Danio rerio: one gene and its partner. The protein of the gene in region 1 interacts with the protein of each later gene in a biochemical or structural test. Links are inferred from orthologs where the notes say so. Each region holds a gene or a part of one and is shown on either strand. Other genes may lie near its edges.

Region 1 (4,158 bases):
CATACACACTCAATCACACACATAAAATACGGACAATTTAGCTTACCCAATTCACCTGTACTAGAGGTTTATGGACTTGTGGGGTAAACCGGAGTGACCGGAGGAAACCCATGCCAACACGAGGAGAACATGCAAACTCCACACAGAAATGCTAACTGACCCAGCCGAGGCTCAAACCAGCAACCTTCTTGTTGTGAGGCGATTGTGCTACCCACTGCGCCACCGTGCTGCCCTTTGCTTTAATACTTTATATTTTAATACAATCTCTACACTATAAATTATTTGTTTTCTTAAAATAAATTCACAATTTAAAACAATAAATCAACTATTTAATTTTTAAAACTAAATTTTTTGTTACCTGAATAAACTGCTCTGATTAGGGGCGGGGGACAATTTTGCATGCAATAATGACGTTAAAATTTGTTAGACCTTCACCAACATATGATAGTAAACTATGTTACATAATTTGTAGGTATAATTTATGCTTCCATACATTTATCGGGGGCTCCCAGATTCTCTGGGGGATTAAGTGACTGTTTACCTTATTTATTGGTTAAATCCCGCCCCTGCCTTTGGCCCCTAGACACCTCACACTCCAGTTCACATATTGTCATCATATATTATATAATTTAGTATTTTTATTATGCAGTACCACTACTAAACTACGCCAGAGAACCATAATACGGGATACTTTTGACAGTTTTTAAGTGGCGAAAATACATTTCAATGACATGATTCCTAAAGTTAATGGCACTGAGCCTATCCTGTTACAACCAACATAAACTGAATTTAAACACTGGCAGACTCACGGCAGCATCTTTTCCTTGTTCTCTTTTTCTGTTTACTGGCATCACTCTCTGGACACACGTGTAGTCTTCACTGTGAACAACAAGGAAGCAGCACAGCGGAAGCGGCTTCCTTTCGTCTATGACAAAAGCTTTTACAATTAAACCTTACAAGTCTAAGCAAAATACGTTCATTCAAACATATAAACATGTGTACTTTACATGCCGAGTGTCGGTACTTGTACCGTAGGATTGTTCCAAAGACAATTAAAGGGATTTTTATTGTACACAGCATCACATTACTTTTAACAAGTAGTTGTTATTTACTTTTTTAGTTTGATATAAAAATAAGATTTTATAAATACTGACTAAATGTATTATTTTAAAATGGTTAATGCACAACATATTTTGGTAAAGCGTTTTGAATTGTATATAGACTTTTCAGCAACATCCTGGACGTCATTTCCGCTAAACGTTAGCGTGATGCTGAACTAGGAAACTTGCTCTGATCTAAACAGGAGGAAAATTAAAGGTTTGAACTGTATTTTATCTCATTCAGTTTTCATGTTGTTTATTTTGCTAAACGTGTGAATGTAACGTTAACAGCATTTCTCAAAATACCGAATCATCGCGTTAATCTTACATTAAACTCTCCAGATACATGAAACTGGTGAGTAGTCATCTGTACTCTCACATTGCTTTGTATTATTTTCGTTGAGCGTATTTATTTCATACTTTTTGCGTGTAACTGAAGTACAAATTTAAGACAACATAAACTTATCTTCGTTTCTAAAGTAATTAACCCTTAGACATCGTTCTTAAATGAGCTCCTTTTATTTACGTGTTTAAACTCCATGTTAACCTGAATGACTGCTGTTAACACGGTAAAAAAAATTCTGATTGATATGTTTTCCATAATGGTTTCTGCATGGTGCATCTTAGACCTTTAACTAATCTTTCTGACATTTCTAACCTTACAAAGATTTCAGTGACAAATTGAACATTGCTGTTTTGACTTCAGCTGATATTCCTTTAAATGGCACCTATTTTACCCCTTAATCAAGATTTAAGATAAGTCTTTTGTGTCTCCAGAATGGGTCTGTAAAGTTTCAGCTCAAAACACCTCTCAGATTATTTATTATACCTTTAGAAGTTTGGAATTTTCTGCTTTGAACACAATGTAGCTGTTTTTGTGGCCTGCGCCCTTAATGCCAATTCACCCTGCCCACCGTTCCCTCGTGCCTGTCGGAGTGTGCCTCAATCTCTGCCTCGGCTGCGACAGATAAACAGCACAGTGACAAAAAGATCTCCCGTAAAGTTTGTGAGAAATACTTCAGTAAGAAATCTCCCAATGATTATTTGATGTATTTGTTGTGGAGTTAATTCAAGCCTTTCTATGATGAGTCGCACACAATGTTGTTAGAAAGTTTACACAGACACACACACACACAGGGATGGGACGATAAACAGTTGTGAATAGTAAAAGTTTTAAAACCGTAATGTTTTCAGTTATACAGTTTCTAAGGTATGTGTATGTTTTTTTGTTTTTTTTTCACGATTACTTTAGTTAGTTTTTTTAGGGCAACAGAATCTCCAGCAAAAAAGGAACCTCTACACTAAAAGCTACTGGTCTAATATATATATATATATATATATATATATATATATATATATATATATATATATATATATATAAAATAAATCTATTGTGTTCAATAGGGGCAAAAGTTGTTGTGTCCCAGACATTTAAAAATAATTTATTTTGGAGGAATAATTACAATATCGTGAAACAGTGATATTTTTTCCAAGGTTATAAAATCAGAATCTTATTCCGGCCCATGCCTACACACACAGTGCGCGCATTTAACTTTGCACTGTTTTTGCACGTAAATGTGACAGGAGGATACACATTAATATCCCCTGCTTTATGGACATCCATTATGTTAATGTACAAAATAAACCTGATTTAACATCCACAAACGGATTGAAAGGTCTTCTTTTTTTAATTGTACTGACCTGGGGCTGTGGTTATAAAGACGGTAAAATCGCTTGCGTGTAGTCTTCTTGTTGATATCTTGTTGATATGATTTTACTCGTTACTGCGATGACATGTTAATATGAGGCTGTCAATCAGTTCAGTGGGCAGGAAAACTGCGCTCCTACATCACAGTGCAGTGGGTCTTAAAATGGGATGGATTTGGATGCTATTTCAACATCAGGAAATAGAAAAAGAGACCTATTGTCTTTATATCACTCCAATATGACTGTGGACACACTTTACTTACAGTTGTGTCCAAACAGCTCACAAAAGATGATTTTTATGATAGGTGCCCTTTAAGGTAAAATTATCTAGTTATTTAAAAAAAAAGATTGTAGAAATACTATTGAAAATGACCTAGGGCTGGGTGATATGGCAAAAATGCAATCTTAATAATTATTTTCCATATTGAATGATAACGATATATATATTTCAATAGAAGTTGCTAATGCTTTCAAATTTAAAAGAGAGGTTTACCCCCAACAATGACTGAAGCCACAAAAATTAAAAGCTTTATTAAACCATTAACAGGCCTAACATATGCCAAAGCAATGGCAAAATATCTCTAATAACCACACACTTTTACATTCCCATTGTTTACATTTCTGCTGTGTGATTGGCTCTTAGATCAATTAAAGTAAAAACGTCCAGAGCTCATCATTGTTATTGACAAATTTTATTGCGATTTGATATGATATTGTTTATCAGCCCAGCCCTAGAATGACTCTTGAAAGCATCAGTTATTAACAAACAACCGAATTATGATGTTGTTTATTAAATGAGGGATTTAAGGCGCTATATTACAGTTTGACAGTTAAAAGTATTCCTATATATATATATATATATATATATATATATATATATATATATATATATATACACACACACACAAAATGATTTTATAAGTTAAGTTAAATAAGTTTCATTGTTGTTTTCATTGTCATATTTTTGATGTAGGTGAGTGCTGTAAAGGTGTCAGAAAGTTTAACCTGGTCCCATAAAATCAATGTGCTGTGTTTTTAATATAAAATAAACACCCCAGGGGTTGCAAAAATAAATCAATCCATCAATCAAATCAAAAGGTTGATGGCTTTTTATTTTCATGTTGGTTTTGTAAATGTAAGTATTAACTACTAATCTTTTCTTCTGTATGTCATGGATAAAATATGGTAAGCAGGTGATTTTTCAGAAATTTTCTGTTTTTTTACTTTTCACAGACCTTCCTCCAAGAAACCTAAAGTTCAACTCTTCACTGTCTTGCATAAAAGACAAACTGACCCTTTATGACAGCACATTCTTGGTCCTGAAATATCTCTTCATCTGCTGCTCTCTCAA
Region 2 (4,071 bases), on another chromosome or scaffold:
TTCATTTAAAGACAACTGGCAATCTCTAGAGATATTGTTGTCAATAAATAAATGTAAAAAAAATCTAATGTTGTCTAGGTTTTTGATTGTCAGGTAGCTAAATGGTCCTTGAAATTTTAGAAAGTAGTAAATTGTTTGTCTAAACGTTCTGCAGCTGTCTGGTAGTCAATACCACTGCATTCTTATCACAGCACATCATTACGCCATATTACACTGTATTGTACGGTTATAATTGTGTTATTGTCAAAATGCAACTTTATATATAAACAATACAACAAATTTCATCTCTCTATATAAAAGCGTATAACTAGGCTACAATTAACCATTACACTTTCCAACTATTTGTGTTTTGAATTTTTCTTATTAGATTAATCTAAATTAATTTGCCAGTGGGCTTTTGCATAGCTGAAATTGTTTGGTGAGTGTATCAGTTCTGCATATTCTCTAGTGAGTTTATAACTCACTTTCTGATAAATTAACTTAGCGTTCTTATTCAGCGTAATCTAATGAAAAAAAAAAAAAAATATATATATATATATATATATATATATATATATATATATATATATATATATATATATATATATATATATGTGTGTGTGTGTGTGTGTGTGTGTGTGTGTGTGTGTGTGTGTGTGTGTGTGTATTTATGAACAGGACATTTAATAATCTGGGAGAGTAGACTTCAAATGTATTGTTTGGCCATGTATCTTCCATCCCCCCTACTGGACGCATTAGGAACAACAGCGGCGTAAAACTGTGGCGTGTAAAATTGCCTGAGCCGTAAAACTGCCTAGATCCAAGTCTGCAGATGTCCCATATAGGGGTCTGCAGCTTCCCCTTACTCGCCGCTTCACCCAACCCAACAGCAGGGGCACTGTCTGGTCTGTCTGTGCGCGCTAGTCTGAGCGTGCAGTTGGGTCTCCGGGCCTGCAGCTTCCCCTTACTCCACTCGGGCGAGGCGGTGTGGTGAGAAATCGAGTCCCCCTGCAATCGATTCCGAGGCAGTCTATGTCATGAAAGATGCATAAAAATGAACCTATATACACTGCTTCTTCTGCATTAAATATTTGCTGAATAATTTGTAAAACGTTCATTTATAACTATTCTTTTATAAAGTGTGTTTAAAACATGACGCTAATATGAGCTTGTAAAAATATACGTGCGATAACGTCACATTTGTTTTAGGACCTTTCAGCAGATTCAAAATGGCGAATTTTCGGAAAAATGGTTCGGAACTAAATGGGCTGTGCAAAGTATTAACAAACCAAACAAACAAATAAAAACACAAAATTCGTATTATATAATACAGAGGATTTACCCGTTTTGTTTTATTGTTTTCAAAGCGGCAGCTTTAAATAGACATAGCTGCAACCTCCTTTTGAAGGTAAGAAAGACATGCTGTTCACTTTTGCTTTTGTGCACGTTTATTACAGAGAAGCATGATCCAGTCGTACATTAATAGCCTTTCGACACACACACACACACACACACACACACACACACACACACACACACATATATATATATATATATATATATATATATATATATATATATATATATATATATAAACAACGCAGGTTTATGTAGCGGTAACGCACAGACAACGTAGTTTATTTACTTCTTTACTTCTGAGTATTTGATCAGTAACGTTAATTACATGGTCTCAAATAAGCAATGCAAACTCATATTGATTCTAGTAGAAATACTAAACTATTTTATAATTTAGAGTTTGAGAATTTATAACAGGGCAACGCTGTGGCGCAGTAGCAAGAAGGTCGATGGTTCGAGCCTTGGCTGGTTAAGTTGGCATTTCTGTGTGTAGTTTGCATGTTCTCCCCGTGTTCGCATGGATTTCCTCCGGGTGCTCCGGTTTCCCCCACAAATCAGGTGAAATGGGTAAAGTAAAATTTTCTGTAGTGTATGTGTTTGAATGATAGTGTGGGTGTTTCCCAGTGATGGGTTGTTGCCTGAAAGGGCATCAGCTGCGTAAAACATGTGCTGAATAAATTCGTGGTTTAATCCGCTGTGGCGACCCCTTAATAATAAAGGGACTAAGCCGAAAAGAAAGTAAATAAATGACTGATCTTATAATACATAGTAATAATTGGACATTTTATAGAGTTATTATAGTACTTTTACGATTCCTAGTAGGATGCAAAGCTGTTCTCTGTTAAGAAGTGTAGCGTTACGCAAGTTTGGGAAGTTTTTCTTTTTTTTTTTTTTTTTTACAAAATACATGCTTTAAATAGTTATCAATATTATACATTTTTATTTAGCAACTTACTCGAAATACTTAAGAATATGCATATTTTAAGCTAATTAATACAAATAAATAGGATTCCATGCAGTTTTATGCTGCATTCCAAGCTTTAAAACGAATCCAAATACACAGACACAACTATTCTAAAAATAGCCAAAACAACCATCATAATTCTTCAAGTTATAAAAAATAATTGGGTAATTTCTACAGAAACATCTATTTTTAGCATGGCAATTCAGACAAGATGTTTAAACATTTATTTCTTTTTTAACATTTAAACTTAGACCACATTATTCAATTTCTTTTTACAGAAGGATATCCAGGACAATTTTTAATATGTGGATGCATAAATTTTGACCCAATCCAAATGTAATAGCAAGTTGCACATTTGCAATTGCATTTCCACTTTTGTGAACGCGCAGTGACTGCCACATTTCAAATAAAAAAAGAAAAGTCCATTTGAAAAATGCATTTCCCATGTCTTACGAGCTATGGGCCTGACATATCTGAACAGCTATATTAATTGCTTCACTTTCTTTTTTATTAAGCTAGAAACAAGAAAAAAAATGACAACATAAAATATTTGCTTTATCACAAACTGTAGTAGCATTATTGGTAATAAATATTGAGGCAACAGAGGCAACGTATATAAGCTAGCTTGAAAAATTGTTTATTAAATATAGATTGTATAATTTGAAAACATGCAGTAAAATCATAATGGTTTTACTTTGCAAAATTATGCTACATACAGTACATGTAAATCACACTACAAGATGGCTAGTAGATGGAGCTTACAGATCAGTAATAATCCCATCATTATGAAATTTGCTGAATCACAAGTATATTGAATTAAGCCCATTTATACATAACGTTTAGATGTTTGATAACTGCAAATAATGTCAGCATATATTTTGCTAATATTTTCAGATCTCTTAAAACAAACTACAAAAAATCGTTGAAACATTATTAGGCTACTATGAAACTTAAACCCGATTATTAATTAATTAATTCATTCATTCATTCATTCATTCATTCATTTATTCATAGTCTTTTCGGCTTAATCCGGGGTTGCCACAGCAGAATGAACTGCCAACTTATCCAGCACAATTTTACGCAGCGGATGCCTTTTAGGCTGTAACCCATCTCTGGGTAAAGCCTGGTTTAAACTTCTGCGTTAAGTGACCGGCGTGACCCACGGCGCATGCAACGGGTGTAGCTGTGCATTTATACTTCTACGCGCTGTCTCTTTTGATCTGAATTAACACTTCCGAAACGCTAGTTGGCAGTAAGGTGTTTATGTTCCTCTGTGTTGAAATTCTTCTCTGCTGTTTTGCTTTTCCTGAACACTTCCTGGATGTACAAGTGGCTTAAACTTGCTCATTTTGAGGCATCTTTTGTGCAGTCTGGGATTTGAGAAAGAGATGCGCGGGCTTTAAAGTGTCACGAAACACCAAAACACGTATTTTGAGCTGTTGACAGTCGTATATGTGTCCCACACTGCTAAAAACACTATTAGGACACCTATATTTCACCAAAAAGTGTAAATTGGTTGTTTTTGCGTTATTTTAAGCAAATTCGTACTTCCGGTTTGAAACGAATTTTTGAAGCTGCGTCACGGTCATGACATAATAGCGTTGTATTCCAGCGTGCAGACTGGGCGTCTGTGCCAGAGTGTGTCTTGTTACGTCTTACAGTGTGATGCATTAATGCATGAGTAAAGCTTGGTTCAAACCAATCAGCGCGCTCTATTGTGGAACTTTATTAATATTCATTACTGTCGTAGTGTTCAGACGGCAGAGACGCCA

What was found.
Region 2: the proteins of gtf2e1 (region 1) and taf6 form a complex in vitro, tested with the Homo sapiens proteins (2 studies listed by BioGRID). The link is inferred for Danio rerio from reciprocal best matches to the Homo sapiens genes GTF2E1 and TAF6.

Annotation. Positions count from the first base shown.
Region 1 is NC_133184.1:29,390,202-29,394,359, reverse strand, and holds the start of gtf2e1 (general transcription factor IIE subunit 1), read left to right. Parts: upstream 1-1,322; 5' UTR 1,323-1,455; intron 1,456-4,040; 5' UTR 4,041-4,158.
Region 2 is NC_133180.1:58,922,983-58,927,053, forward strand, and holds the start of taf6 (transcription initiation factor TFIID subunit 6), read left to right. Parts: upstream 1-1,213; 5' UTR 1,214-1,387; intron 1,388-4,071. UniProt on the Homo sapiens protein: The TFIID basal transcription factor complex plays a major role in the initiation of RNA polymerase II (Pol II)-dependent transcription.